Macaca mulatta: one gene and its partners. The protein of the gene in region 7 interacts with the protein of the main gene of each other region in a pairwise test. Links are inferred from orthologs where the notes say so. Each region holds a gene or a part of one and is shown on either strand. Other genes may lie near its edges. The genes, in order: RUFY1, PLOD3, BANP, PPL, NAA10, TRAPPC6A and RAB3IP.

Evidence for each region.
Region 1: the proteins of RAB3IP (region 7) and RUFY1 interact in binary tests that used the Homo sapiens proteins (3 or more experiments, as listed by UniProt). The two-hybrid records come from large-scale screens. The link is inferred for Macaca mulatta from reciprocal best matches to the Homo sapiens genes RAB3IP and RUFY1.
Region 2: the proteins of RAB3IP (region 7) and PLOD3 interact in binary tests that used the Homo sapiens proteins (3 or more experiments, as listed by UniProt). The link is inferred for Macaca mulatta from reciprocal best matches to the Homo sapiens genes RAB3IP and PLOD3.
Region 3: the proteins of RAB3IP (region 7) and BANP interact in binary tests that used the Homo sapiens proteins (3 or more experiments, as listed by UniProt). The two-hybrid records come from large-scale screens. The link is inferred for Macaca mulatta from reciprocal best matches to the Homo sapiens genes RAB3IP and BANP.
Region 4: the proteins of RAB3IP (region 7) and PPL interact in binary tests that used the Homo sapiens proteins (3 or more experiments, as listed by UniProt). The two-hybrid records come from large-scale screens. The link is inferred for Macaca mulatta from reciprocal best matches to the Homo sapiens genes RAB3IP and PPL.
Region 5: the proteins of RAB3IP (region 7) and NAA10 interact in binary tests that used the Homo sapiens proteins (3 or more experiments, as listed by UniProt). The two-hybrid records come from large-scale screens. The link is inferred for Macaca mulatta from reciprocal best matches to the Homo sapiens genes RAB3IP and NAA10.
Region 6: the proteins of RAB3IP (region 7) and TRAPPC6A interact in binary tests that used the Homo sapiens proteins (3 or more experiments, as listed by UniProt). The two-hybrid records come from large-scale screens. The link is inferred for Macaca mulatta from reciprocal best matches to the Homo sapiens genes RAB3IP and TRAPPC6A.

The regions. Positions count from the first base shown.
Region 1 is NC_133411.1:188,517,121-188,521,139, forward strand, and holds part of RUFY1 (RUN and FYVE domain-containing protein 1), read left to right. Parts: intron 1-2,774; coding exon 2,775-2,876; intron 2,877-4,019. UniProt on the Homo sapiens protein: Activating adapter involved in cargo sorting from early/recycling endosomes. Regulates retrieval of proteins from endosomes to the trans-Golgi network through interaction with the dynein-dynactin complex.
Region 2 is NC_133408.1:48,473,356-48,477,374, forward strand, and holds part of PLOD3 (multifunctional procollagen lysine hydroxylase and glycosyltransferase LH3), read right to left. Parts: intron 3,580-4,019; coding exon 3,438-3,579; intron 3,351-3,437; coding exon 3,237-3,350; exon of another isoform or gene 3,192-3,236; intron 3,095-3,191; exon of another isoform or gene 3,067-3,094; coding exon 2,998-3,066; exon of another isoform or gene 2,967-2,997; intron 1,715-2,966; exon of another isoform or gene 1,560-1,714; coding exon 1,455-1,559; exon of another isoform or gene 1,398-1,454; intron 560-1,397; exon of another isoform or gene 451-559; coding exon 304-450; exon of another isoform or gene 214-303; intron 1-213. UniProt on the Homo sapiens protein: Multifunctional enzyme that catalyzes a series of essential post-translational modifications on Lys residues in procollagen. Plays a redundant role in catalyzing the formation of hydroxylysine residues in -Xaa-Lys-Gly- sequences in collagens.
Region 3 is NC_133425.1:83,340,138-83,344,803, reverse strand, and holds the start of BANP (protein BANP), read right to left. Parts: upstream 2,960-4,666; 5' UTR 2,878-2,959; intron 2,189-2,877; 5' UTR 2,175-2,188; coding exon of another isoform or gene 2,154-2,174; 5' UTR 2,117-2,153; coding exon 2,096-2,116; exon of another isoform or gene 2,017-2,095; intron 998-2,016; exon of another isoform or gene 916-997; intron 1-915. UniProt on the Homo sapiens protein: Controls V(D)J recombination during T-cell development by repressing T-cell receptor (TCR) beta enhancer function. Binds to scaffold/matrix attachment region beta (S/MARbeta), an ATC-rich DNA sequence located upstream of the TCR beta enhancer.
Region 4 is NC_133425.1:6,203,605-6,208,340, forward strand, and holds the start of PPL (periplakin), read right to left. Parts: upstream 3,149-4,736; 5' UTR 2,765-3,148; coding exon 2,703-2,764; intron 1-2,702. UniProt on the Homo sapiens protein: Component of the cornified envelope of keratinocytes. May link the cornified envelope to desmosomes and intermediate filaments. May act as a localization signal in PKB/AKT-mediated signaling.
Region 5 is NC_133426.1:160,175,453-160,178,627, forward strand, and holds the end of NAA10 (N-alpha-acetyltransferase 10), read right to left. Parts: coding exon 3,110-3,175; intron 2,910-3,109; coding exon 2,865-2,909; intron 1,617-2,864; coding exon 1,532-1,616; intron 992-1,531; coding exon 755-991; 3' UTR 689-754; downstream 1-688. UniProt on the Homo sapiens protein: Catalytic subunit of N-terminal acetyltransferase complexes which display alpha (N-terminal) acetyltransferase activity. Acetylates amino termini that are devoid of initiator methionine.
Region 6 is NC_133424.1:57,690,649-57,695,411, forward strand, and holds the start of TRAPPC6A (trafficking protein particle complex subunit 6A), read right to left. Parts: upstream 3,002-4,763; 5' UTR 2,983-3,001; coding exon 2,899-2,982; coding exon of another isoform or gene 2,857-2,898; intron 1-2,856. UniProt on the Homo sapiens protein: May play a role in vesicular transport during the biogenesis of melanosomes.
Region 7 is NC_133416.1:76,885,636-76,889,654, forward strand, and holds part of RAB3IP (rab-3A-interacting protein), read left to right. Parts: intron 1-719; coding exon 720-995; intron 996-1,730; coding exon 1,731-1,989; intron 1,990-4,019. UniProt on the Homo sapiens protein: Guanine nucleotide exchange factor (GEF) which may activate RAB8A and RAB8B. Promotes the exchange of GDP to GTP, converting inactive GDP-bound Rab proteins into their active GTP-bound form.

The DNA of each region.
Region 1 (4,019 bases), on a different chromosome or scaffold from region 7:
TTTTAACCCAGCTAAATAAATTATGGTGCTGTCCAACAGCGACACACTAAAGCTGTAGAAAAAAGTGAAGTCCTCTGTGTACTGATATGGAAAGATTTTCTTTTTTTTTTTTCTTTTTTTTTGAGACGGAGTCTTGCTCTGTCGCCCAGGCTGGGGTGCAGTGGCCGGATCTCAGCTCACTGCAAGCTCCGCCTCCCGGGTTTACGCCATTCTCCTACCTCAGCCTCCCAAGTAGCTGGGACTACAGGCGCCCGCCACCTCGCCCGGCTAGTTTTTTTGCATTTTTTAGTAGAGACGGGGTTTCACCGTGTTAGCGAGGATGGTCTCAATCTCCTGACCTTGTGATCCGCCCGTCTCGGCCTCCCAAAGTGCTGGGATTACAGGCTTGAGCCACCGCGCCCGGCAAGATTTTCAAGATGACGGATACTCAGCAAAATAAGTAGGTTGAGAACTGCATGTAAAACGTTAAATTTTTTTGTAAAAAGGGAGAGAATATATTTGGTACTAGTTTTCATGTGTAGAGACATGTTTTGGAAATGAACTTAAAGGACACTATATTAATGTATAGGGAAGGCGGGTGGGGAGGTGGAGGACAAGGAGACAAGTATATGCCTTTTAATACTTTCTAGGTTTCTTTTTTTTTTTTTTTTTTTTTTTTTTTTTGAGACAGAGTCTCACTCTATCTGCCAGGCTGGAGTGCAGTGGTGCAGTCTCGGCCCACTGCAGCCTTTACCTCCCGGGTTCAAGTGATTCTCGTGCCTCAGCTTCCTGAGTAGCTGGGATTACAGGCATGAGCCACCACCCCCAGCTATGTTTTGCATTTTTTGTTGAGATGGACTTTTACCATATTGGCCAGGCTAGTCTCAAACTCTTGACCTCTGGTGATCCACCTCCCTCGGCCTCCCAAAGTGCTGGGATTACAGGCGTGAGCCACCGCGCCTGGCCTACAATATATTTTTTAAATGGCCAAGTCGTATTCTGTTGTATATATAATTTTGTTTAACCCCCCTTGTGGCTGTCTTCAAATTCTTGTTACCACAAACCGTGATAATGATGTGGTGACCGCCCCGAAACATACATCTTTGTGTCCATCTTCAGTTATTTCTCTAGGATGTATTACTAAATGTAAAATTTTGGTAACCTGTTGTCATCAAATTGCCACTAGAAAGTTGTACAGTTGACCAGGCACAGTGACTCACGCCTGTAATCCCAACACTTTGAGAGGCTGAGGCGGGAAGAATGCTTGAGCCCAGGAGTTTGAAACCAGCCTGGACAACATGGCAAAACCCCATCTCTACAAAAAAAAAAAAAAAAAAAAAAAAAACCATTAGTTGGGTGTAGTAGCACGTGTCTCAGCTACTCCAGAGGCTTGACACAGGATTATCACTTGAGCCTGGGAGTTCCAGGCTGCAGGGAGCCATGATCATGCCATTGCTCAGCAACATGGACGACTGAGCAAGACCCTATCTCCAAAAAGAAAAAGGAAGTTGTAAAGTTTACAGTCTCACCAAGCAGCACTTGAGAAGCCTTTATTCTTTTAATGTTTAATGCAGGCCTGTTCTTTCTTTCTTTTCTTTTTTTTTCCTCTTCTTTCTTTTCTGCTTCTCTGGAGATAATGCTAGAATACAGAAAAATTACACCTTCAAGACTGGGGCTGGGCACAGTGCCTCATGCCTGTAATCCCAGCACTTTGGGAGGCCAAGGTGGGCGGATCACTTGAGGTCAGGCGTTCGAGACTAGCCTGGCCAACATGGTAGATGGTAGAAACCCCATCTCTACTAAAAATACAAGAATTAGCTGGGCGTGGTGGCAGGTGCCTGTAATCCTAGCTACTCGGGAGGCTAAGGCAGGAGAATTGCTTGATCCCTTGAGGTAGAGGATGCAATGAGCTGAGATCACAATGGTGAGCCAGGATTGTGCCACTGCACTCCAACCTGGGTGACAGAGTGAGACTCCATCTCGGAAAAAAAAAAAAAAAAATTGGTTCCACAACATTGTGAATGTACTTCACACTACTTAACTGTAAGATTAAAAATGGTTAAGATGGTAAATTTTATGTTCTGTGTATTTTACCACAATAATAAAACATAAAATTGTACCTTTAAGGCCAGGTGCAGTGGCTCATGCCTGTAATCCCAGCACTTTGGGAGGCCAAGGCAGTCTGATCACTTAAGGCCAGGAATTTGAGACCAGCCTGGCTAACATGACAAAGCCCTGTCTCTACTGAAAACACAAAAATTAGCCAGGCGTGGTGACACGTGCCTTAATCCCAGCTGCTCGGGAGGCTGAGCCACGAGAATTGCTTGAACCCAAGAGGTGGAGGTTGCAGTGAGCTGAGATTGCACCACTGCACTCCAGCCTGGGCGACAGAGCAAGACTATCTCAGAAAAAAAAAAAATTGTACCTTTGAGCTAACCCCTTGGAGATTTTACAAGCTTTAGCACTTTAGCAAGCACTAAGTTCTCTATTAGTCTTTTGAAAGAATGTTTATCTATTACACAAATCTAACCTGATATTTTCCTGTGATATTTTATGACTATAAGCAAAGCATTATCTAACTGTATTTGTAATAGTACTCAAAGGTGTGTGGTGAGCCATTTTCGATGCCTGCCCAGGCCACGTGCCTCCCTCCCCAACCCCAAACAGCCATTTGTAGAGTGTCCTCTGCATTTATAAGAGTGTGTTTCCTGTGTATCTCCCTAGGTAATTCAGGTTTCTTTTCTGTGTTTGTTGTTGTGATGTCACAATAGTTTGATGCTCTGTTTGAATTCTAGGACAGCTGTGGGAAGAGGCCGAGCTTGGCTTTATCTTGCACTCATGCAAAAGAAACTGGCAGATTATCTGAAAGTGCTTATAGACAATAAACATCTCTTAAGGTATTTCATCAACTAGGTTTGCTTATCTTTTGCTTGGTAAATAATTAGAACATAGGCCGGGTGTGGTGGCTCATGCCTGTAATCCCAGCACTTTGGGAGGCCAAGGCAGGTGGATTGCTTGAGTTCCGGAGTTTAAGACCACCATGGCCAACATGGTGAAATCCCGTCTCTACTAAAAATACAAAAATTAGCCAGACATGGTGGCAGGTGCCTGTAACCCCAGCTACTCAGAAGGCTGAGGCAGGAGAATCGCTTGAACCCAGGAGGCGGAGGTTGCAGACAGCCAACATTGCGCCACTGCACTCCAGCCTGGACGACAGAGGAAGATTCCATCTAAAAATAAATAATAATAGGCCGAGCGCAGTGGATCACGCCTGTAAACCCAGCACTTTGGGAAGCCGAGGTGGGCAGATCACAAGGTCAGGAGTTCAAGACCAGCCTGGCCAACATGGTGAAACTGTGTCTCTACTAAAAATACAAAAATTAGCTGGGCGTAGTGATGCATGCCTATAATCCCAGCTACTCAGGAGGCTGAGGCAGGAGAATCACGTGAACCTGGGAGGCAGAATTTGCAGTGAGCCAAGATTGCGCCATTGCACTCCAGCCTGGGTGACAGAGTGAGATTCCTCCTCAAAAAAATAATAATTAGAACATAGTTCTGTAGATCATTTTGAATTAAAATAAGTGTATCAGCCAAGCGTGGTGGCTCATGCCTGTAATCCCAGCACTTTGGGAGGCCAAGGCAGGCTGATCACTTGAGGTCAGAAGTTCAGAAACAACCTGGATAACATGGTAAAACCCCATCTCTGCTAAAAATCCGAAATTAGCTGGGCATGGTGGCATATGCCTATAATCCCAGCTACTCGGGAGGCTGAGGCAGGAGGATTGCTTGAACCCAGGAAGCAGAGGTTGCAGTGAGCCAATCACACCACTGTACCTCCAGCCTGGGCAACAGAGCGAGACTCTGTCTCAAAATAAAAAAATAAAATAAGTATACAATATTTATGGAAATTTACGACTGGTTCATTTTTGATATTTATAACTAAGCAAACATCATTATAAAAGGAATTTTCTCTAGACTATGGTGATTTATGAGGGAGGACTCTTTCCAGAGTTAAAGCTCTCTTGTAATTGAGAAACGTA
Region 2 (4,019 bases), on a different chromosome or scaffold from region 7:
CTGGCCATTGCAGGGGATCTTCAGGGAGATGATGGTCCCTGCCCAGGGAGGGGAGGGGCGGCAGGATTCCTGCATGGGAGAGTCTCACTGCTCACTGGCATTAGATTAGGGCCAAGCCTTGCCCCAGGTCTCAGCCTGGCTCCCTCCCTCCCCTGGGCTGCCTCCTGTAGCATCTCATTTCCCTGGGAACTAAAGTGCATGGAGCCCAAATGCTGCGGGGGCCAAAAGGGGTCTCTGTGGAGACTTCCAGCCTGGGACTGGGGTGGGGAAGGTGGGGAGGCAGCGGGCAGATGGGCAGCGCACCTTGGTGTGGTAGCCGGGAAACAGGCTCTCGGTCATGGGGCCCACATACGTCCGCAGCAGCTGCAGCCATTGGTCCTCGTACCCCACCTGCTTCATGTGGATGTCCACAGTGGGCACATTCTCGTAGCCTCCAGCCAGCCTTGAATCCTGGGGGCGGTGGGCACTGAGCCACCCGCCCCTCCAGCCACGGTGCCCCCCCCCAAGGGGCAGTCCAGCCTCCTTCCTCCTGTGCCCCAGCCTTTACACCTGTGCTCCTCTGTGTGGAGCAGTCTTCTTTGCTACTTCTCAGCCTGACTCACTGCTCCCGGCCCTTCAAGTCTCAGCTAAGATGTCACCTGTCCTGTGAAGCCCCCTAGTCCTCCCAAGTCTGGGTCAAGGCTTCCCCGTGGCTTCCACAGTACCCAGGCTGCTCATCGCAGCCTTAGAAGCTGTGTGGCGGCTGCTGCTCACAGCAGGGCAGAGCTCGGCCGGCAAAAGGCATTCCTGCAGTGCAAGCTAGGACAGTGACCCAGAAACTTTCCTTTTTTCTTTTTTTAGAGACAGAGTCTTGCTCTGTCACCCAGGCTGGAGTGTTGCGGCATGATCATAGCTCACTGCAGCCTCTAACTCTGGGGCTCAAGTGATCCTTCTGCCTCAGCCTCCTGAATAGCTGGGACCACAGGCACATGCCACCATGCCTGGCTAATTTTGTGTTTTTAGTAGAGATGGGGTTTCTCCATGTTGATGAGGCTGGTCTCGAACTTCCGACTTCAGGAGATCCACCTGCCTCGGCCTCCCAAAGTGCTGGGGTTACAGGCGTGAGCCACCATGCCTGGCCCAAACCCAGCTAATTTTTAAATTTATTGTAGAGACAGGGTCTTGCTATGTTGCCCAGGCTGGCCTCAAACTCCCTGGCTCCAGCAATCCTCCTGCCTTGGCCTCCCAAAGTGCTAAGATTACAGGCATGAGCCACTGCGCCCAGCAGTAAATATTTCTTAAATACATGAATGAATGCAGTTGTGACCCCAGGGTCTGTCTCCCCCTTGGGGTTTTAGTAGAGAAAAAGGGAGTTCCCCCTCTTTGCTCCCATTTTCCTGATTCCATTGTTCCTTTACCAGATCCCGCACCTCCTCCTCCCAGGAGCCCTCTGCCTTCCTCACCCAGGCCCTTACCTCATGCCGGCCGCCTGACCACTGGCCGTAGTGCTCCATCTCCGCCACCAGCTCATCACACATTTGTTCTGACAGCAGTGGGAACCAGTACACGTCCGGGCATGGCTGAGGACGGGGCGGGGGAGAACAGGGCTAGCTGATGCCACAGAACGGGGAAGGGGACAGGCAGTGGGCAGAATGGGAAGGGGCAGGGAGGAGCAGGGAAGGCTCTGTGAGAGCAGCTGGGGACCTGCCAGGTAGGGCCTGGGGGAGTGGCAAGGCTGAGAGCCGGTATCTGGCACAGCAGAGGTGGCAGAGGGTCCTGGAGCCCCTTGTGCTGGGACAGGGGTTTCCAAACTTCCATAACAGTGCATCCCTTTTTTTTTTTTGAGATAGGGTATTGCTCTGTCACCCAGGCTGGAGTGCAGTGGCACAATCATAGCTCACTGCAGCCTCGACCTTCTGAGCTCAAGCGATCCTCCTGCCTCAGCCTCCCAAGTAGCTGGAACTACAGGCACATGTCACCATGCCAAGCTAATTTTTTCTTTTCTTTTTTTTTTGAGACAGGGTCTCGCTGCGTCACCCAGGATGGAGTGCAGTGGCATGATCTTGGCTCACTGCAACCTCCGCCTCCCAGGTTCAAGCGATTCTCCCACCTCAGCCTCCAGAGTAGCTGGGACTACAGGTGCGCGCCATCACATCTGGCTAATTTTTGGTTTTTTTTGTTTTTTTTTAGTAGAGACAGGGTTTTGCTATGTTCCCCAGGCTGGTCTCAAACTCCTGACCTCAAGTGATCCGCCTGCCTCGGCCTCTTGAAGTACTGGGATTACAGGCATAAGCACCACTCCTGGCCTAATTTTTTATTAAAAAAATTTTTTTTTGTACAGACAGATTCTCGCTATGTTGCCCAGGCTGGTCTTGGACTCTTGGCCTCAACCCATCTACCCACCTCGGCCTCCCAAAGTGCTGGGATTACAGGCATGAGCCACCGTGCCCGGCCCCATTCTTCTTTAAAGATGTGATTTCAGCCAGGCGCGGTGGCTCACGCCTGTAATCCCAGCACTTTAGGAGGCTGAGGTGGGCGGATCACCTGAGGTCAGGAGTTTGAGACCAGCCTGACCAACATGGTGAAACCCCATCTCCACTAAAATACAAAAATTAGCTGGGCATAGTGGCATGCGCCTGTAATCTCAGCTACTTGGGAGGCTGAGGCTGGAGAGTCGCTTGAACCTGGGAGGCGGAGGTTGCAGTGAGCCGAGATCATGCCATTGCACTCCAGCCTGGCAACAGAGCGAGACTGTCTCAAAAAACAAAACAAAAGAAAAAAAAAAAAACGATGTGATTTCATTCGTAACACCAATATACCCAATACACAGGAGAGGAGAGGCCATCTGATCAATGCCAGGTTTGGGATCAAGAGTCCTATCTGCTCGGCCTTTGCCTTCATCTTGCCTGAACAGAAAACCCTCAGGCCCCTGGGGAACTCAGTGTGAAAACTTTGAATCCAGGTGGGGGCCCCCAAGAGGTGATGGCCATGAGGGCGGTGGGGGCTGCACGGGCTCACCTGCTCCACGATTCCCTCCCCTTCGAGGGCCCGGCTGTAGTTCTCGTGGATGTACTGCTCCTTCCAGTCCTGCGGGAGGGTGGGGGGTACAGCAGATCTGTGGCCCCCTCACTCCCAGCCCTCAGGGGACCGCCCCCTCCCGCTCAGCATCCTGCGCTGGCAGCAGCCATCACGTTTGGCGTCTTCCTTAGCACAGGGCGGGGAACCTGTGTGCTCTGGGCGCGGGGGGTCCTACTCACGACGGGGTTGTCGAAGATCTGCCAGAGGTCGGGGTGCAGGTGCTCCGTGTCGTATCGGGAAGTGGCCAGGAGCCGGCCAAATTCATGCTGATTGCTCAGATGGAGGAAGATGCCCTGTAGTGGGGTGGGGGTGTCCATGATGCAGGCCATGCCCACAGTCCGGGATGCTGCCCCCAGGCCACACCACGCACCCGCGCTCACCTTGTCTCGAAAGCTCTTACAGAAGGCCATGTCCGGGTCCGTGTCACTGCCTGAGAACACGTCCCTCTGGGGCAGCTCCGTCCGCAGCGTATCCCCCCGGATCACATAGGCCTGCGAGATGTATGGCACGTTCCACACGCCCCTGGAGGCACCGACAACCGTGGTCAGCTGGGAGGGCGGCCCCCCAAATTCTGCCCAGCTCATCCCGGGAAGTCCTTCTTCCCTTAGAGTATCGCAGTCCCTGAACATAAGGCTCCTGCATGTCCCTTGTCAAGCACTGCTTGTCACAACCGCCCCATCTCCCAAAACGCAGTCAGTCCCTACCCCAAGCTGTGGCACTTTTTTGTTTCTTGTTTTTGGCTTTTGAGACGGAGTCTTGCTCTGTCACCCAGGCTGCAGTGCCGTGGTGTGATCTTGGCTCACTGCAACCTCTGCCTCCCAGATTCAAGCAATTCTCCCACCTTAGCCTCCCAAATAGCTGGGATTGCAGGTGCCCACCACCATGCCCAGCTAATTTTTGTATTTTTTGTAGAGATGGGGTTTCACCATGTTGGCCAGGCTGGTCTTGAACTCCTGACCTCA
Region 3 (4,666 bases), on a different chromosome or scaffold from region 7:
ACTCTTTTTTAAGTGACATTAGTGGAAACAAGAAATCAGAACAAAGAGGAACTGGAAAGAATCCTTATTAGTTTCCCTAGAGTCATGGAGATGAGGCATTTGTAAAACAATAAGCTACTGTGAAAAAGGAACAAGACAAATACATGCTTGGAAATTAAAAATTTGATTGTGAAGACATATGAAAGCCCTCTCCCAGAAATGAGAATAAACAAGACACAGAAGGAAGGATAAAGATGCAACTCCAGGGGTCCATCTAGAACGTCCATCACAAACAGGAACTCCTAAGACAGAAGAGCAGAGCTGGAGAGGAAGAACTTCTCAGACAGAACAAGGCAACTCCCCAGAGCTGAAGGACAAGGCACCAGAGTCAAAGAGTCCCCGGAGTAGGAATCCACACACCTCAGCACACGGTAAAATGTCATTAACACCAAAGAGAGGATCCAAGAGCGTTCAGGGAGGGAGAAGGGTCTCCACAGAGGAAGAGCACCTGCCAGAGCGTCCTGTGGAAATGAACAAAGCCGAGATGAAAACATTTCTGAACGCACCCAGCCGCAAGAAGTATCAGGTGGGCTCGTCTGCAGGCTAAAGAATAACCCATCCAGATGAGAAAAAGGTTAGGGGCTGAAGGAGGAAGGGGACCTGACACTATCCTTGAGATCATTTAAAACAATGCAAGGAGTCGATGGGAACAGAAAGTGCCAAGAGAAAAGCCATGACTAACAGAAAAAAAACATGCTGTACAGGAAGGGAAACACTCAATTTGTGAAGAGAACAGTATTTACATAGGCCTGACACACACAGTCCAGGGGATAGAAGAGGTGGGATATGACAGAAGGGCTCCATCACCCCATCGTAACAGAAAGTCAAGGCTGTGTAAAACCAAGTAGCAGCTTAGAACTAGGTGCAGTCACTCACACTTGTATTAACGGCTACTAAGGAAGCTGAGGATCACTTGAGCTCAGGAGTTCAAGTACGGCCTGGCCAACATCTGGGGATCCTATCTCAAGAAAAAAATGAAAAAGATCAGCTTACTTAGAGCTATAAAGAATGACCTAAAGAAACCACTCAAGATGTAAACCTCTTTGAAGAATGGGGCTGAGAGGTGGGGCAGGGGACCACTGCTTTTCATTGTAAGTCTTTCACTGATGTTCCTATTGTACACATTATATTAATTAAAATACTAAATATATAGGCTTCAAATAGACTGAATTTGAACCCTGGCTCTGTACATCTGAGCAAGTCCCTTAGTGTCTGCGGGCCTGGCCACCTCATCTATAAAGTGGGGGCAGCCTCTGCCTCCCGGGTCATGGTGAAGCACCCGAGATGTTGAGCTGCCCCCAAGCAGCGTGGATCACAAATGGATGCTCTTTTTTAAAAAGATTAAAGCCCCAGCCTGGGCAACAAGCGAAACCCCCTCTAAAATACAAAAATACAAAAATTAGCCAGGGGTGGTGGTGCCTGTGGTCCCAGCTACTCGGGAGGCTGCGGTGGGAGGATCACTTGAGCCAGGGAGGCCGAGGCTGCAGTGAGCCAAGATCACCACACTGCATTCCAGCCCCGGGGACAGAGTGAAACCCTATCTCCAAAAAATAAAAATACTAAAGCCAATGATGACAGAATCCAACATCGCAAGAATATATTCTTATTTTAATTGCCAGACACGGGAAGTGGACCTACACACAGAATTTTACCGCGTTTTGGTGTTTTCTTCTAGCACAGGATATTTATTTGCGAGCTGCGTGTTAAATGACCAGATCCAGTTTTTCTTTGCTGTTTCCTGAGCTTACTCAGAACCACTCACTACTCCAAGTTATTTTTCTGTCCCCCAAGAACTTCCAGCTAAAAGTGGCCCCTACGACTGCCTCCTCTTATTATTTACTATAGTTCTGCCATCGCCATCAGGCCCTGGAGTACGTTCCTGGGCAGAACAGGCAACTCCAAACAGGGCAATTATCTGTTCCACATCAACAACTGCGTGACCCGCGCCCTCCCCGGTCAGGGTGCAAGCTCGCTACCCTTCAAAGCCCACACTCGCTCCACTTGCTCACAGTTCTTCAGGGATGATGTATTTCTCCAATAGCAAGGCAACCCCTACCATCTCATCAGTGAAAAACATCAGTCCTCTATCAAGGTACTCTCTCCAATTTGCTCACACAGTGTGGATGGAATGTCATCTACTTTCTGCATCCTAGGGGGAAAAAAAAAAAAACGGCCACCTTTCTTAAGGACTAGATCACAGAAATCGCACAAACGTGCTGGGGAGGGGGCACCCCGAAGTCCTCGTTCATCGGGGCCCCTAGGGGGACGGGCTGGGGTCCTCGCCGGGGTCGGCGGTCGCCCCGGGATCGTCCCTTCCGCTGCCTCGCCAGAGACTTGCATGTGCGAGTCCCGGGCTATGGGGCTCCAGTCCACAGCCACGGAGGAGGCACAAAAACGGTGCCTGTCGCTCCCGGCTGGCTAGCAGGAGCGACCCCTTGGGAGACTCGGTCCCCAGAGGAGCCTGGGCGCGGTTCTAGGCCCTTCCAGTCTCCCCGCCGTGGCCCCGGGTCCTTCCCGCGGGGCTAGGCCCGGGGCAGAGGTCGGGAGCGCGAGGCCCCCGGGCCGGGCTGCGGCAGCCGCGGCTCAACGGACGCCGGGGCGCGGCGGGGCCGGGGGTGCGGAAGCGAGGAAGCGGGAGCCCCTCTTCCGGGGCGCGGCCGGGGACGGGGAGCGGGGCCTGGGGGGCGCTCGCCCGGCCCGGGCGGTTGGAGGCGGCGGGGCTGCGGCGCGGGCGGCCCGGCGGGCGGGAGGAGGAGGGAGGAGGGAGATCTCGCTCTCGCTCTCGCCCCGCGGGAAGGGGGAGGCGGAGGCGCGACCGGCTGCGGGAGCTGCAATTACCGTGTGGGCTGCGGAATTCTCGTGGTGTTTGTCGGGGAGATGCGATAATGGCGTCCGTCCTCGCGAGAGAAGCCGCCGCTCTGCGCAGGCGCCGCGAGCCCCTCCCCGCGACGCTCTGCCCCCGCCCTCTGCGCAGGCTCACCGGGCGCGCGGGGCCGGGGGCGGGGCTGGGGCGAGGCCCCTTGCGGGCAGCGAGGCCAGCTGCGCGCGCTTTTCCCGCTCGGCCTCCTGGTGAGCATGCGCAGGCGGCCTTCTTCCGCGATGGTACCGGCTTCCCAGGGTTTTTTCCCCCCGTTTTTCGCCCACGCACGTGGCCTGCCTGAGAAAAATCACCTCAGTGGACGGTGTGAGGAATTTGCATCTTCTTTGAGACGGAATGAATAGGCATTAGCTCCCTCAACGACTACACCTCCCAGGGTGCCCTGCGCAAGCGGGGAGCCATGCATTCGGGGACTCGTAGTCCCTTCGTCTGGGCCATGCCTGCCGGGACTTGTAGTGTCTCCGGACTCCGGTCGTCCGTCTTGTCCCCGCACCAAGGGTTGCTGGGACTTGTAGTTACAATGTCTCAGGTGGGCTGTGCGCCCCCAGCGGGTCCTGCCTGCTGCTGCGGCGGATCCTGCCCTGAGGTTCCGGAGCGCTTGGTGGCGTTTTCCCAGACATAAGTGGTCAGGGGTCCCCAGCGTCTGTCCGGAGGGGCCTGAGTGCACGCGCGCGGGAGTTAGCACGCACAGCAGTGACCATGGTCTTAGATATGTCCTACAGCTAACACATAATATAAATAAGTGATGGCGGCCGGGCACAGTGGCTCACGCCAGTAATCCCAGCCCTCTGGGAGGCCGAGGTGGGCGGATCACCTGAGGTGGAGGTTCGAGACCAGCGTGGCCAACATGGCGAAACCCCCCTCTCTACTAAAAGTACAAAAATTATGCCTGGCCTGGTGGCGCGCACCTTGTAATCCCAACTACTCGGGAGGCTGAGGCAGGAGAATCGCTTGAGCCCGGGAGTCGGAGGTTGCCGTGAGCCGAGATCGCGCCCCTGCACTCCAGTCTGGCGACGGAGCGAGACTCTGTCTCTAAAAAAATAAAAAAGTGATGGCGTGAATGTGCGCACGTTATCGTTTATGTAGAATAAATGTGCATTTGTGGGTAATCATAGGAAAAAATTCCCAAACTATAGGGCAATTCCCAGAAATGTCATTTCTGGTTATCTCCCTCTGCTTATCTAGAATTACCTTGCCTTTCATTTTCCTCTTTATACTCCTGTTTTCTGAATTATTTGCAATGAGCAAGAATGCCTTTGATCTCCCAAGCACAGGGCAAGAGAACTATTTTCACTGGGAAAAACAAAATGCTTTACCTTGAATTTCCTGCCCAGCTCCCTTTTGCCAATAATAATAACAGGATTCGGTGCAGTCATGGGCTATGCGACCTTGGGCAACCTTACCGAGTTAGTCTCCTCTAGAATTAGGCTCGGAGGTTCCCCTGAGGCCGGTGGCTGGGTTACTTCGCAGTAAAAATGACTTACAAACACTCCAAGGAGGAGCCTTGACAGAATGGCAGCACTGGGACAGGTGTCGATCTGAAGATGGGACCTGTCCTTTTTCAACATGAAGATTGGCTCCAAAGAGATTAGAAAAATTGCCCAGCGAGGCCACAGGGCTGGAGAGAGGCACAAGCCGAGTTTGCAGTACAGAACACCTTGCTTAGAGTGTGGTGTCCACTCACATGGAGGGAAAGGGTGCGTGCGGGAGCTGCCACGGAATATTCCCTCCAGCAGTGGGGACAAAACA
Region 4 (4,736 bases), on a different chromosome or scaffold from region 7:
GTGTTTCATTCACTCATCCACACTTTGTAGTCCAAAGGCCTGACTACCTTGGGTGTGAAAGTCACAACTTGGGGCTCCTGGGTCCCCTGGGCCCGGAAAGGGGTGCTAACCCTCATCCGGGCACCTCCTGTGTGCTGTGCCCTGCTCCTCCCAGCAGCCCTATGCATGAGACACTCAGTATCACCACCCGTTCTGTGCCCACTTCCAGAGGCTCCAGGGTGGAGATGCCAGGATCAACAGTGAGACATTCTGCTCGCAGTGCTGGAGCTCCTACCTGCCCCACCACGCTGAATCTCACCAGCAACCTTGTCCTCCCCCAAACAATGGAGCGGGCCCTGGAAAACTCGGGGTGAAGGAATAACTTGGAGATCCACTTCCTGTGACCAGCGACCACAGCCTAGAGCCACAAGTCTGTCCCTTCCACCCCCAACCAAGACACGTGCTATGGGGTTAGCTGGGCATCAGGCAATGCTCGAGAGATGCATTTGAGAGAACTGGGTACAGGACTACCCCCACCCCACAATCTAGTCTAAGAACTAGTCCCCACTAAGGGGAGGGGGCAGAGGGATGCACTGGGCTTGGAGACCACCCGGGGAGGCATCTGACACCTGCTCAGAGCTGTGGCTGTGCTCATTCTGTGCTGGGGTGGCAAGGCTCAAAGGAATGGTCTTTCACCCCATGCTGAGGGACAGAATCAGGAGGGCTTCCTGGAGAAAGACACATCTAAGTGGAGACCTGGGACCAATGGCTGTCAGTCTAGGACAGACGGTGGCTGCTTTGGGTCAGGGATACAGAGAGTGGCGGGACCCCAAATCTTTGCCACCCCAGACCCTCTGAGTCCCTGCAGCTATAAAGGATGGGATGCCTTTCATCCTCACACTTTCAGGAAAGCCCGCACCCCTCCCAGCTTGTCTGGGTTCATTACAACCTTTTGTTAGGTCCAAGCTGAGGCCTTCAGGGATGGAAAGCTGCAGAAAGGAGGGAGGCTGGGGGGAGGCAGAGGGCAGGGGGAGGCAGAGGGCGGGGCGAGGCCTGGCCCCACTCCTGGTGTGTGGGTGTCTGCATGTGTGAAGGACTGGATGGGCCTAGTCTCTGGGGTGGAGAGGACAGAACGGTTCTCCACGGCTGGCACAGAGCATCCAATTGTGCAATGCCCTAGGGAACAGTGCAGGGACTGGACGGGCCCCCGGCTGGGTCCGAGTGCCAGCTGGACGCGGCCACGGAGGAGCGGCAGGCAGGCCCTGCCCAGTCTCTGGGGTTGTGAAAGATAGGGGAGGGGTGGGGAAATCTCTGAAGGGGGGAAATGCCTCTGAGCTTGAAAGGGCCCAAATGGAGATATGGGTGGGTGGGATCACAGGGCAGGGGGGCTTCTGAAAGGGCTGGAAGGCCAGGGAATGGAGTGTTGCACTCCAGCATGCCAGGGCCCCACCGCCTGCACCTGTCGGACTGGTCGGCCTAGGCCGGACTGCAGAGGTTGGGTGGGAGCCCTGGGCCCAGAAGCCTCTCCTTGCCTTCCTCTGGGGCCTAGGGAGGGAGTGAGGAGCTGCTGGAGGGCACATTGCAGGCTCCCAGTGAGAGCAGCTTGGGGGCAGAACTCCCAGCCAGGAGAGCCATGCAATTTGCGGGCCCCTCACCTGCCTGAAGCCTCTTGTCCAAGAAGCTGGCAAAATGGTCCTTGCTAACCCAGAGCCTCCATTCTATTTTCAGAAGTGGGGGCATAAAGCAGGGGCTGGATTCCCACCCCCTCCATCAATCTCAGCATCTCCACCAGGCTCCCCCAAACAGGTTATTAAGTGAACACATTAGGCTTATCAAAACGGACGTGGGCTGCTTCTCACTGCAAACACATCAAGACATGCCATTCCCCTCCCAGGCCGCCCTGGGAACCCGCGGCTCAGAGACACCGCCAGTTTCGGGGCTGGGGTGGGGGCAGGGAGCCACACCCCTGAGAAACCGAGCTTCGAAGAGGAGGCCCGGACGCCACCCAACCTCCGCTGAGAACCCAGAGGGTGGGGAGGTAAAGGGGGTGCCTGCCCGTGTGCCCCTCGACCCGACCCCGCACCCCCCAGGGCCTCTGAGCGCGGCTCTGGAGCGCAGGGTGGCAGATGCCGGGAAGTGCAGCGAGGGGTGGGCCACCCCCTTCGGACCCCCACCCCCTCGCCTCTCGGACGCCAGGAACACTTGCGAGGTCTCAGAGGCACTGGAGAGCACCCCTCCGACGCCGGCTCAATTTCCCTGCCTCAGGGCGCCCCCTGGACGGAGCTTCCTGGGTCGCCCACGGCGACCCCGCCTTAAGTGCCCGGTCCTCCAAAAACTCCGCCCCCGCATCCAGGTGTCTATTCCCGGTCCTGGGCGACCCTCTGCTCAAGAGCGACCCTGGGACACGGGGGTGCCCTGTACCCCCAGCTCAGCTGCCCATGCCCTAGGCCCTCAAGACAATGCTCCCTGGGCTCCCGGAGTCCCCGAAGTCCGCAATTATGCTCCCCCTCGGGTGCCCCAGCCAGTCCCCTCCCACCCGGCGGTGCTTCCCAGCTTCAGGGTGGCCTCGGTCCCACGTTCCCGTGAGTCTCGCACTCCCGGTTCAGTCCCCTGTTCCTGGGCCCCCGTGACCCCCATTCCTACACTGCCCGGGCGGTCTTCCCGGTCCTGTGCGCCCACAGGCGCAAGAGCGTCCCGGAACGGAGCTGCGGGCGCCTCCTCACCTCCGGGTCTGCACAGTGGGGCTGTATTTGCCTTTGTTTCTCTTCCTGAAGAGCGAGTTCATGGTGGCGCTCGGGGTGCGGGCGGTGGCGGCTGGCGGGCCGGGCGCGCACCGAGGGGCGGGAGGGAGCGCAGGTGAGCGAGCGGCGGCGCGCGGAGCTCCTAGTGCTGCGGGGCAGCGGCGCCGGGTCCCTACTCGCGGGGGGCGGGGCGCCCGACGGCCACTGGCTCTGCGGGCCGCTCCCCGAGAAGGTGGTGCTTACCTTCCCGAGGAGGGGCCACCGCGCGGGCGGGGCTTGGGCGCGGGGGTGGGGACACCGGGTCTTGGCCGGACACCGCCCACCCCCAGCCGGGGGACTCCGGAGGCCGGGCCGGCGCTGGGGCGCAAAGGCCGCCGGGGCGAGCGCTCGCAGCCCCACCCTCCCCGGGCCCGGCGCGCCTCTGGCCGAGGCCTTCACCTGGTTCTGCGCTGCCGCGGAACTCGGCGCTCCTGGTGCTTTGGCGGACACCCAGCTGGGCCCCGCAAGACAGGTGCGGCAGCGACCCGCACGGGTTCCTGTGCCCCAGTAGCTAGCGAATTGCACTCAGATGGTGGCAAGTGAGGGAAGGGGGCTGGACTGCGGAGGGCGCCGGCCTGAGTTCAAACCCTGCCACCCTCAGGTCGGCTGACACTCCTGGGCAAGGCGTTTTGCTGCTCCCAGCCACAGTTAACTTCTTTGTCAAACAGTGATCACCACCACCCGGTCCGAAAGGCCTGTGGGGATGTCCCTGCAGGTAATGCACGCAGGCGCTGAGCGCAGTGCCCTGGCCCGAATCTGCTCTCTGCCTGCCATCTCGGGTGGACAAAAACTACTTTGAAACTTCAATTACTCCAGGCCCTGGCACGAGAAGAGTGCTTCATAACTGGTCATAAAAGCTGCTCGATTCCGGCTCAGAACAACGTTGCACAATTCTGCCAGCATGTCCTGGCTTAGACTGTGTGCCAGTGGAGAAGGCTGCTCTTAGACAGAAACCCAATCTGACCTGAAGCCCGGATAGGGCCTCACAAGCAGGGAGGGTTCAGCGCCTCTGTGGAGGGTGGTGAGGGGCTGAGCCCAGCTGGGAAGGAGGAGCCCAGGGGAGACCCCAGAAGGCAGCGATCAAGATACTATGTTATGGCCAAAAGGCTATTAGAGCTCAGATGAGGAGTGTTCAGGTCTGCGGGGAGGGGCCTCCAACAGGGGGTCTGGAGTCCTGGGTTCAAATTCAGCTTTCTGAGTCTTCAGACCAGTCTCTTCCCCAGTTGTTTTGTATTTAAAAACAAGGAGGCTGGGCCAGGCACAGTGGCTCACAGCTATAATCCCAGCACTTTGGGAGGCCGAAGTGGGTGGATCATTTGAGGTCAGGAGTTCGAAACCAGCCTGGTCAACATAGTGAAACCCCGTCTCTACTAAAAATACAAAAATTACAGGGGCATGGTACTGTAATCCCAGCTGCTTGGGAGGCTGAGGCAAGAGAATCACTTGAACCTGGGAGGTGAAAATTGCAGTGAGCCGAGATCGCGCTACTGCACTCTGGCCTGGGCAACAAAGTAAGACCCTGTCTCAAAGTAAATAAAATAAAATAAAACAAAATAAAAAGTAGGAGGCTGATGGGGAATTCATTTCCAAGGGCTTTTCCTGCCCACAGCCCCAGAGTGTCTAAGGGCATCCAATGTCTTCCAGGCCATCTCTGTCCCTGCCACGGAAGGACTGTGGTTTCCAAATATTACAGGAAACTAGGAAAATATTATTATTATTTATTTTTGAGACAGGGTCTCTGTCACCCAGGCAGAAATGCAGTGCTGCCATCTTGGCTCACTGCAGCTCAACCTCCTGGGCTCAAGCGATCCTCCTGCCGCAGCCTCCTGAGGAGCTGGGACTACAGGCACATGCCACCACACCTGGCTAATTTTTAAAAATTTTTGTAGAGCTGGAGTTTCACCATGTTGCCCAGGCTGGTCTTGAACTCCTGAGCTCAAGTGATCTGCCCGCCTACAGCCTCCAGAAGTCCTGGGA
Region 5 (3,175 bases), on a different chromosome or scaffold from region 7:
AATGTAAACCATGGGCTATAGTTTACAATAACTTATCAGTATTAGCTCATCAACAATAACAAATACACCAACTAATACAAAATGTCAATAGGGCAAACGGGGGGAATTGTACTAAAAATAAATTATTTTCAAATGCAAACTCAGGGAGTAGACTCAAGAGGTATCATGGACTCACTGACCATTAGGGTGGCAGGGAAGGGAGGACTCAAGGACCGTTGACAGGGCGTCTGGCTGGGTCATTATACTCAGGACAGCTGTAGATAAGCCCAATGAGCAGTCAGATGTCCACATCTGGAGCCCACGGCTATGCCGCAGAGCTGCTGTAGCCCAAAGCAGGTGTGATTAGGGAGAGAAAAGGTCTGAAGGTGAAGATGGGAGGAGAACTGAAGGCTACCAAGAGTGGGAGCCCTGCTGTTGAGCTTTGAGCCTAAGCGGCCCAGGCTTATGCCACAAAACACATTCAGCGTGGCCAAGCAGACCTCCAAGGCAGGGTCTCTCCCTAAGCCCAGGGCCTCCTTCCCGGGGCCACAGCTGCTGAAGGCCATGAGACTGGGGAGTCCCACCTCCAAAGCTCTTCCCTTCTATTCGGACTGGCAGGATGCTCTGGGTCAAAAGGCTGAGGCTCACCTCCCCACCAGAGGACCTGGAGAAACACACCCTCTAAATGTGCACACGCACACACACGAAGTTCCCCAGTGCCACGGAGCGAATTTATTGTGAAAGCTCGTGGGGTGAGGAAGGGATGGGGCAGGCTCTAGGAGGCCGAGTCGGAGGCCTCTGAGCTGTCCTTGACATCTGTGCTCTCTGTGGTCTCGCTGACCTCGCTGAGGTCCTTGCTGTCCCCACCACTATCCTCGGCAGCCAGGCCCTTCTCCTCGCGACAGGCCTCTCCTGAGCTCGGAGGTGAATTGCCTTTGCTCTCCACCTTGTTCTCGATGGCACCCAGCACCACATGCCTGCCCTTCTCCTTCAGCTCCAGGTGCCGCCTCAGCTGCCACCAGGAACCCAGGGAGAAGCAGGAGGTAAAGAGATGGGGCCTAAGTTTCCAGACAAAGGGAGCCTGGCCCTGTCGCTGGCTGAGGAGAGGGGCATAGTGAGGCAGCAGGGCTAGGCAGGACACGTGGGACTGAGTGGGGACACCTGGCTGGAGCCCCAGTCCACTGCTACCTGGGCTCACTGACTACCATGGAGGCCCCCACGACACAGCGTTGCCCCTTGACCAGCCCTGCCACCCAAGGAGCCTGGGGCAGAACCCTGACTCAGAACTACCTCTGAGCAGGCAGGCCACCCACTGGTCCCCAGGCCTCCCCACTTCCCTTCTAAAAGCCTCCTCCCTCTGCCTCTCCCATCACCCTCCAGGCTGCTAGGCAGACGGCCTCCTCTAAAGCCCAACCTAGGAAACTGAGGTTGTGACTCCTGGCAACATAGCCACAAGGGCTGGCATTCAAAGTTGGTCGCACCTCCAGCCACTGTCTCGGGGCTCCCCAATGCCACCCCCGCTTGCCTGGCTTGGCTTCATGCAGGCTCTTACCTCGTCGGCCATCTGAGTGAGGTCTCGCTTCATGGCATAGGCGTCCTCCCCATCTGCATAGTATTTGGGCTCCACTTCACTGATCCTGGGGGCAGAGGGTAGAGAGCAAGGAGGAAGACCCATACCTGGGGGACACCCTCCTCCACTCCTAGTATCATGGCTACTGGAGCAAGATGCCGTGTTTTCTCCCTGAAGGGCTCCTTCCTGAGACAGCAAGTCCAGTGTGACCTGCCCTCTGTTCTCTCCAGCAAAGGCTCCAGGAAACAGCGGCCCGCCCCACCCCTGTCCTGCCCCCGTTCTGTGTCCTTAGCCTGGCTACTAAGGATTCATTTCTGTGGTTTCTTGTGAGCTGAATTCCTGAATTCAGCCTTCCCCTTCCCTCCCTGCCCTGCGTCCTGTCCCTTACTGAGCTGCCTCACAACAGCCATCAGAACCCAGGAAAGACAGTGAGCTCTGTTTAGGGGAGTCATCCCTAGGCAGCACGGGCCCTGCCTGAGCAGCTCAGGGGCCATGCCTGCACTGGGGAGGCATGTGTGCAGACTCGGGTGGCCATGTCCCTGGAAGGGGAGCTGGACTCAATGGCCTAGGCTGGCCCTGCCAGGCCTAAGACATGAGGATTGTTGACTTAGCTATAAAGCAGTTCCCACCAGACATCCTCATCTGGGTCACAGATCCCTCTTGCCAGCATCCAGCCCAGAGGCCACTGCCCTTCCCAACAGTCCCTCCTCTTCACCCCTGCCAAACAGGGGCTGACTGCAGTTAGTGTCCCTCCACGGGCAGCCCACCCCAGCTTCACTTGCAAGCACTTTTTTCCACTGTCTACTGGGCATGCTAACTGCCAGGTCCTCTCTCCTGTGCTAGGCACACGGGGCCTCCCGGTCCTCAGGCAGACCTGCCCCATCCACTAGGTTGCCTGGCCGCCGGTCCTTCCTTCCTGAACGTGCATTCTCCTTGATTCTGCTCTCTCTTGGATTCTTCCAGGTGCTTGGCCATGCTATGATCTGCTCACGCCAGGGACCCACACCTCTTTATTCCCAAACATTACTAAACAGCCCGTGTGCCCTTCACCAGCCTCTGCCAGCATGGGCCAGAGCTCCTCCATCACAACACACACGGAGCACGTTTCAGCAGGCAGGTGCTGTCTCCATGCCGGCTTTTCAACCATCAGCCACCGAGTGAATGTGGAGGCATCCTGGCAGCACTGGGGTCCACAGCGTCCTCCCCACATCCGGCCCACCCCTAGCCTGGAAGGCAACTCAGCCGGTCTCAGGTGCCCTGATGGGCCAGACCTGGGGCCAACCCCAGCCCACGAGAAAACTCGAGATCTACTTACTGAAAGTTGAGGGTGTTGGAATAGAGGTGCAGGGCGGCCCGGTTACTGCAGGGGAACAAGGCACTGCTGAGCTGCACGGACATGGCCAGGGAGGGGTAGCACGTCCAGTGCCTGCCCCTCCTCTTGGTCCCTCCTTCACCCCAATCCCACTTCCTGGATCTTCACCAAAAGCCGAGGTACCCCAGGACCCCCGTCAAGGCAATATCTCTCCCCCTCAATCCCCCTTCCCTCAGCCCGGCTTCCACCTCTTCCTGACATGCAGGGAGACGTATTTGGCATTGAAGTTCTCTATCATGGCTCGAGAGGCCTGG
Region 6 (4,763 bases), on a different chromosome or scaffold from region 7:
AAAAATAAAAATAAAAATAAAAAAATAAAAATTTTAGAGGTGGGGTCTTGCTATGTTGCCCAGGCTAGTCTTGAACACTGGGCCTCAAGTGATCCTCCCACCTCTGCCTCCTGAGTACCTGGGATTACAGGTGCAAGTGCCACAGCTGGCTAAATGCATTTTTGATTTATGATTTTTTCTGTTATGTTTTTTTTTTTGAGACAGGGTCTCACTCTGTCGCCCAGGCTGGAGTGCAGTGGCCGGATCTCCGCTCACTGCAAGCTCCGTCTCGCAGGTTTACACCATTCTCCTGCCTCAGCCTCCCAAGTAGCTGAGACTACAGGCGCCCACCACCTCGCCTGGCTAGTTTTTTGTATTTTTTCAGTAGAGACGGGGTTTCACCGTGTTAGCCAGGATGGTCTCGATTTCCTGACCTCGTGATCCGCCCGTCTCGGCCTCCCAAAGTGCTGGGATTACAGGCTTGAGTCACCGCGCCAGGTTGATTTATGTTTTCAACTTATGACAGGTTTATATCTGTATGTCGAGATGGTAACAAGCAACATCCTCCCTGGGGCTTCTTATCCTAGAAGGAAACCAGAGCCAATAAAAATGTCTTACATGGCCGGGCACAGTGGCTCATGCCTGTAATCCTAGCACTTTGGGAGGCCCAGACGGGCGGACCACGAGGTCAGGAGATCGAGACCATCCTGGCTAACACAGTGAAACCCTGTCTCTACTAAAAAAAAAAAAAAAAAAATTAGCCAGGGGTGGTGGTGGGTGCCTGCAGTCCCAGCTACTCGGGAGGCTGAGGCAGGAGAATGGTGTGAACCCGGGAAGCGGAGCTTGCAGTGAGCTGAGATCCGGCCACTGCACTCCAGCCTGGGCGACAGAGCGAGATTCCGTCTCAAAAAAAAAAAAAAAAAAAAAAATTAGCTACGCATGAGCCTTTGAGGCGGACGATGCAGGGAGCCAACACTGCGACACTACACTCCAGCATGGGTGACAGAGTGAGATCCCCCATCTCAAAAACAAAACAAGGACGGGCACGGTGGCTCATGCCTGTAATCCCAGCATTCTGGGAGGCCAAGGCAGGCAGATCGCCTGAGGTCAGGAGTTCAAGACCAGCTTGACCAACATGGAGAAATCCCATCTCTACTAAACACACAAAATTGGCTGGGCGTGGTGGCACATGCCTGTAATCCCAGCTACTCTGGAGGCAGAGGCAGGAGAATCGCTTGAACCCAGGAGGCGGAGGCTGTGGTGAGCCAAGATTGTGCCATTGCACTCCAGCCTGGGCAACAAGAGCGAAACTCCGTCTCAAAAACAAAAACAAAGACAAAAGGCCATGTGCCCTAGCTCATGCCTATAATCCCAGCACTTTGGGAGGCCAAGGCACATGCATCACCTGGGGTCGGGTGTTCTGAGACCAGCCTGGCCAATGTGGCAAAACCCCATTTCTACTAAAAATACAAAAATTAGCCAGTAGTGGTGGTGCCAGCTGCGCTTGTGGTCCCAGCTACCTGGGAGGCTGAGAAGTGGGATGATTGCTTGAACCTAGGAGGTCGAGGTAGCAGTGAGCCATGATTGCATCACTGCACTCCAGGCAGCCTGGACGACCGATCAGGACCCTGTCATGCATGCACACACACACACTCCCAGGCCAGTCGTGGTAGTTCACGCTTGTAATCCCAGCACTTTGGGAGGCCCAGGCGGAAGAATCACTTGAGTCTAGGGGTTCAAGACCAGCCTGGGCAACATGGCAAAACCCCATCTCTCTTTTTTTTTTTTTTCCTGAGACGAGTCTCGCTCTGTTGCCCAGGCTGGAGTGCAATGGCACAATCTTGGCTCACTGCAACCTCCGCCTCCCAGATTCAAGCCATTCTCCTGTCTCAGACTCCAGAGTAGCTGGGATTACAGGTACCCGCCATCATGCTCGGCTAATTTTTGTAGAGACAGGGTTTCACCATGTTGGCCAGGCTGGTCTTGAACTCCTGACCTCAGGTGATCCAACCGCCTCGGCCTCCCAAAGTGCTGGGATTACAGGCGTGAGCCACAGCACCCAGCCGGCATATTTCAGTTTGTTATTTGACTCCCCAGTGAAATGTAAGCCTCACGAGGACGGGGATTCTGTCTTAGAACAGTGCCTGGAATACAACAGACACTCAATAAGTGGGTGTGGAATGAATAAATGTCCCATGCTGAGGCTCAGGTACGTTATGATGCTCATTTTACAAAAGAGAAAATTAGGACACACAAAGATTAAGTCATTGGGTCGCACACCTTGTGAATGCCGAGTACTCAGCACACGCCCAATAACAGCATTATTTTATATATATATATATATATTTTTTTTTTTTTTTTTTTTTTTTTGAGACGGAGTCTCGCGCTGTCACCCAGGCTGGAGTGCAGTGGCCGGATCTCAGCTCACTCCAAGCTCCGCCTCCCGGGTTCACGCCATTCTCCTGCCTCAGCCTCCCGAGTAGCTGGGACTACAGGCGCCCGCCACCTCGCCCGGCTAGTTTTTTGTATTTTTTAGTAGAGACGGGGTTTCACCGTGTTAACCAGGATGGTCTCGATCTCCCGACCTCGTGATCCGCCCGTCTCGGCCTCCCAAAGTGCTGGGATTACAGGCTTGAGTCACCGCGCCCGGCCAATAACAGCATTATTATGATTACTTGCCGCTTACTCAGGCCGTGAGCTAAGTGCTTTACCCTGAGTCATCTCGCTCAATTTAGCAATAACCCCAAGCCGGCACCTTCGCGAACCCCACTTTCCAGAGGAGGAAGCCAGCGCCAGATGTTGCCCTGCAAGGCCGGGGCTGGGTCGGGGTTCGAACCCGGACGTCTGACAGCCCCTCCGCTCTCCCCGAGGCGTTACCGTGGTGGCCCCCACTTCCTCCCCACGGGACCCGGCGCTCACCCCCGGACCGGGGTCGGGGTCGTGAGCCCACAGCTCCGCCACCATCTCCGTGTGAAGAAACTCGAACAGCACAGTGTCCGCCATGAGCCCTCCTCGCGCGCCTAAAGATGCGCCCAGCGCTTCCCGCTCTCATTGGCCAGGCTTGGTAAGCCACGCCTCTCAAGTCACGGCGCGAGCCCTCCTACTCCCGCTTCCGCTGGTGTTTTAGACTAGCCCCGCCTCCCCACCTCCGGCTCAGGTGGTGTGCGCGTGAGCCTGGGATACTAGGGGGCGGGCCTACTCCTCCTCTGGCCGCACGTGACAACATCTTCTGCCCTTGCTGCCGTCCCTTCCCTATTTCCGGGTTCTTGAGCATTCCTATTGGCCAAATTACTGGTTACACGTGACATACTCGGCTTTTAAAATCCCTATTTGTCCATTCCAGACTTTCCTCGTCGCACAACCTGGAAAAGCCGGCCCAGCCGCTTCTCTATTGGCGGTTCCTCCATTCATGTGATCTTCTGCACACTCCCTCAAAGCTGATGTTGAGAACTTGCATCGTGATTGGTAGTCGAGCGAATCCACGTGACTTGGCCGCTAATGCCCGCCCAACCCGCTCCCCTATTGGTCGAGATCGCAGCCCTTCAGCTGCCACGGTGAGGACTCGGCACTCGGGCAAGGAAGAGGATCCCGCAGGCTCGGAGCGTTAGCTACCGGGTACGGTCTTTGGCGATAGCGCTTCCCCCATCCCATGAGTGCCCCCAGCGGAGTCCAATCGGACTGTCATCCTTTCTGCGACTCTGGCACTGGTCCCGAGCAGCTCAAGGGCCCGAGTGCTTCCGGGTCTGAGATTGGCATGGTGGACCAAGTGGAGGGTGTGGCCGCTACTAGGAGGCAAATTCGTAAAGAGTTCGGCTTGGGACTCCGGGAACTCGGGCCCCAGATCCCTAATGGAGCTGGTCTTCAGTTTCCCCATCTGTACGCTGAAGGGCCTGGGGTCCAGTAACCCTCATCATCACCCAGTTTACAGAAGAGGAAACTGAGGCCCAGGCAGGGGGAGCAACTGACCCCAAGTCGTTAAGAGAATCAGCGAAGGGGCTGGGAATCCAGGACCTGCGCCTTTTACCCACCGCGGCGCCCGTCTCACGTGCAGTCCCTTCGCTTTTCTGCCCTAGCTCGGCGCCATGGCGTCCCAGGGTCGTCGGCGGAGGCCCCTGCGGAGGCCGGAGACGGTGGTGCCTGGGGAGGCGACCGAGACGGATTCCGAGCCCTCTGTGTCCTCGTCGGAGGAAGAGGAGCTGTACCTGGGTCCCTCGGGCCCGACGCGCGGCCGCCCCACGGGGCTGAGGGTGGCTGGGGAGGCCGCAGAGACCGACTCGGACCCGGAGCCGGAGCCGGAGCCAACGGCCGCGCCGAGGGACCTGCCTCCGCTCGTGGTGCAGCGGGAATTGGCGGAGGAGACCTGGGGCGCGGAAGAGGCCCCGGCGCCCGCCCCTGCGCGCTCGCTCCTGCAGCTTCGGCTGGCGGAGAGCCAGGCGCGGCTGGACCACGACGTGGCGGCCGCGGTGAGCGGTGTTTACCGCCGTGCGGGCCGCGACGTGGCCGCCCTGGCTGGTAGGCTGGCGGCAGCCCAGGCGGCGGGGCTGGCGGCGGCCCACAGCGTGCGCCTGGCGCGCGGGGACCTTTGTGCTTTGGCTGAGCGTCTGGACATCGTGGCTGGCTGCCGCTTGCTGCCGGACATCCGCGGCGTGCCGGGGACCGAGCCTGAGCAAGACCCGGGGCCGCGGGCCTAGCCATGATTCTACTTCCCTACCCGACTGCAATTTGGGGTTAGGCCTTGCTGCCTCTGGGACCTGACTCTGTCTCCTGTGTCTCTTATGACCCCC
Region 7 (4,019 bases):
GATTGCATAATACTGTTAGATTTTGTTTTTAGTATTTTCATATTTAATGACAATTAAATTTTAATATAAATTTATTTTATATTAAAGAGATTTTATTTTATAAATAAATATATATAATAAATAAATTTTCTATAAATAAATATATATAAAATATGTTTTATATATTTTATAAAATATATATAATATATATTTTACATATAAAGAGAATTTATTTTAATATAAACATTTAATAATTTTAAAATATTTTTAAAAATTAAGTCAATTTTTATTCATTCCTCATACTAATTGATTATTCTCACTTTAACAGAATTGCTTATCACTTTCAGGTTTCTTCTAAATCAGATTGTTTGCCTTTTATAGTAGTTATACTCTGAGATCGCTTAGTAAATGTTAAGTGATTGTGGTGGTTTGTTTTTGTTTTTGTTTTTGTTTTTTGAGTGGACACAAGGTCTTGCCCTGTTACCTAGGCTGGAGTGTAGGGTTGTGATCACGGCTCACTGCAGCCTCCATTTGGGCTCAAGTAATCCTCCCACCTCATCTCCCAGAGCAGCTGGTACTACAGGCATATACCACCATGTAATAGTGGTTTTTTTAAAAGGCTCTTTTATTGTAAGCTTGTAATTTACAACGGACTGTTAAACACATTTTATAATTTATACATTTTAATTTAGTTTTAAATGTTATTTAAAAATAAGTATCTGATTTTTGTTTTAACATAGGTTATCTTATGATGAGGCTTTTGCTATGGCTAATGATCCCCTGGAAGGCTTCCATGAAGTAAACCTTGCTTCACCTACTTCTCCGGACCTTCTTGGTGTGTATGAATCGGGAACTCAAGAGCAGATTACCTCACCAAGTGTCATCTACCGGCCACACCCTTCAGCTTTATCCTCTGTACCTATCCAGGCAAATGCATTAGATGTTTCTGAACTTCCTACACAACCTGTGTATTCATCCCCCAGACGTTTAAATTGTGCGGAAATATCTAGTATCAGGTAGGAAATAAGTAAATCACTTATTTTGGATTATTTTTTTTAAATGGAAAGTTTGCTTAGTTACTGTATTTTAAGTTTTACTATTTTTAGAAAATTTGAATAACTTAAGTGTGCCTATGTAAAGAAATACATGATAATGTTCTAGAACAGGGTTGACAAACTTTTTATGTGAAGGACCAGATAGTATTTTAGGCTTTGCTAGCCATACAGTCTCTGTTGCAGCTATTCAACACTGCTTTTAGAGTTTGAAAGCAGCCATAGGCAGTATGTAAATGAATTAGAGTGGCTGTGTTCCAATAGAACTTCATATATGGATGCAGAATTTTGAATTTCACTTAATTTTCATTTGTCGCAAAATACTCTTAAAGATTTCTTTTCAACTATCTGAAATTGTAAAAACTGTACTTGGCTCATTGATGCCTTATAAAAACAGGTGGAAGGCTTCGTTTAGCCTGCAGGCTATAATTTGTTAACCCCTGCTCTTGAGTAGCACCGTCCTGTAGAACTTTCTCTGTTGATGAAAATGTTCTATTTTTTGTGCTATCTAATATGAATGATAGATATTAACCACATGTAGCTACTGAGCACTTGAAATGTGGCTATGACTGAGGACATACTATTTATTTAAATATGGAAGCTACCAAATTGGGTAGCACAGTTCTAGAGCTGTGTTTTAAGCCAGTTCTATTGGAGCATATGCTGATATTTTCTGAAAATTGTCTTTCTCCTTTACAGCTTTCATGTTACAGACCCAGCACCTTGTTCTACCTCTGGAGTCACAGCTGGATTAACTAAATTAACTACAAGAAAGGACAACTATAATGCAGAGAGAGAGTTTTTACAGGGTGCTACTATAACAGAGGCTTGCGATGGCAGTGATGATATTTTTGGGTTGAGTACTGATAGTCTGTCTCGTTTACGAAGCCCATCTGTTTTGGAAGTTAGAGAAAAGGGCTATGAACGATTAAAAGAAGAACTCGCAAAAGCTCAGAGGGTAAGAAAGAAGATATTTTATTCTTCCATATATTAGAAATTAGTATATCTCCATGGGGTGGGGCAACCTACAGAAATGAATTCATGACAGTTGTACATTTATCCTTCACATATGCCCAGCCTCAGCTCCTGTTAGGCAGCATTTAGGAATCCGTGAAATTGGTTGGGTAGTAAAGAAGTTCATTTAAGACTACTAACTGGAAAAATGTGGTTCTGTTAACTCTTCTGTGCCCCACTGCATTGCCTGCTCCCTGTCTTGTATTATCTGTAATGCAGATTGATTGGGCCATATTCCACATGCAGGGTTTTCCCTCCTTATTACATGGCTGACTAGATGGTTATTTACTTGAAGTCATTCAGTCTAAGTCATTTTGTTTTGAGGAGTTTAAGCTGAGTTTGAATATTTTCTGTATCTTACCTTGGATAATTTTCTTTTCTTGGTAAATTGTTGTGTTTCCCATTTGGTCATCTTTAAAGTTTCTGCTATTTATTTCCAAACTTATGGCCATATCTTATTCTTTTTCTGAGTCTGCAGTTAAATTTCAGAGGGAAATTTATAGAATGAAATGCATACATTAGAAAACAGGAAAAGTCTCAAATGGACAATCTAAGCTCCCGCTTTAAGAACCTATAAAAAGAAGAGCAAAGTAAAACCAGAGCAAGTAGAAGGAAGGAAATAATAAAGAGCAAAAATCAATGAAATTGATAACAGAAAAGATAGAGAAAATGAATGAGACAAAATGTTGGTTCTTCAAGAAGATTAATAAAATTGCAAACCTCTAGCAAGACTCACAAAAAGAAGACAGATTATCAGTAGCAGGAGTGAAATGTAGGATGTCGCTGGAGACTGAGATCAAAAGTATAATGGAATAATATGAAAAACTGCATATATAAACCTGACAAACTAGGTGAAATACCAATTCACATTTAGAAAATTGAGAAGGTAGGGCAAACATTTATAGGTGTAATTTCCAGCCTACTGTGACATTTCACAAACATATATTCCCACCCTTTCCCTAGCATACTTGTCTCTCATGAGCATAGTATATTCATTTTTTTAATCCCCAGTTCCTTCCCAAAGGAAAAGGATGTGGTGAGATGTGGTTGCATTTTGTTTCTGTCATCTGACTCAGACTTTGTTGTCTTAATAGACAGTATGTTAGTAAAATCACACATTATATAGAGGTAAAATTTTGAATGTATATATATCCATCTTTGAGAACATGTGGTTATTGATCAGAATAGATTGCTAATCTCTTAGCTCACTTGAGAATTTCTTTTGAAATCTCTAATTTGCTATGTTTAGAGATACTGTTGAGATAATTGAAATGTTGGTGTGTGAACACATATGTGGTGACTTTTATGAAGAGTGTAAGATAGTATTAATATTTACTTAGATCTCAAGGCTTGAAAAGGACTCTTGAATATAAAAATACTTCCTGAATTGTGACAACTTGTGAATCAAAACTATGTCAACAGCCATTTTCTTTAGTCCTATTATCTTGAGAGGCCATTTTCTATACTTTTCACTTACTTGGTTAACTATTTGTGTCTTCCTATTTAATACCCATTTCCTATAGATAGTGTATAGTTAGGTCTTGTTCTTTTGATCCTGTGTAATTATCTCTGTCTTTTAATTGGTGTTTAGACTATTTACATTTAATGGATAATGATATAGTTTGGTTTAAATTTAGCATCTTACTGTTTGTTTTCCATTTGTCTCATTTGTTCCTTTTTCCTTTTTGAATCCTTTCTTTTGAATTAATTCTATACTTTTAAAACAATTTCATCTTCCTGTGGCTTTTATCTTTGTTGTGTTAATTTAGTGATTGCTTTAGGGTTTATAGTAGACATATTTAACTTATCACTTGTCTACCTTCCGGCGATACATTACTTTATATCTGGTGTACAGACCTCACAAAACTATACTTTTATTTCTCCCCCCCGCAGTTTTTGTGCAATAGTTGTTGTATGTTTTACTTCTTTGTGTGTTTAAACCCCACAAGACACTATTTTTTTTGCATTAAACAG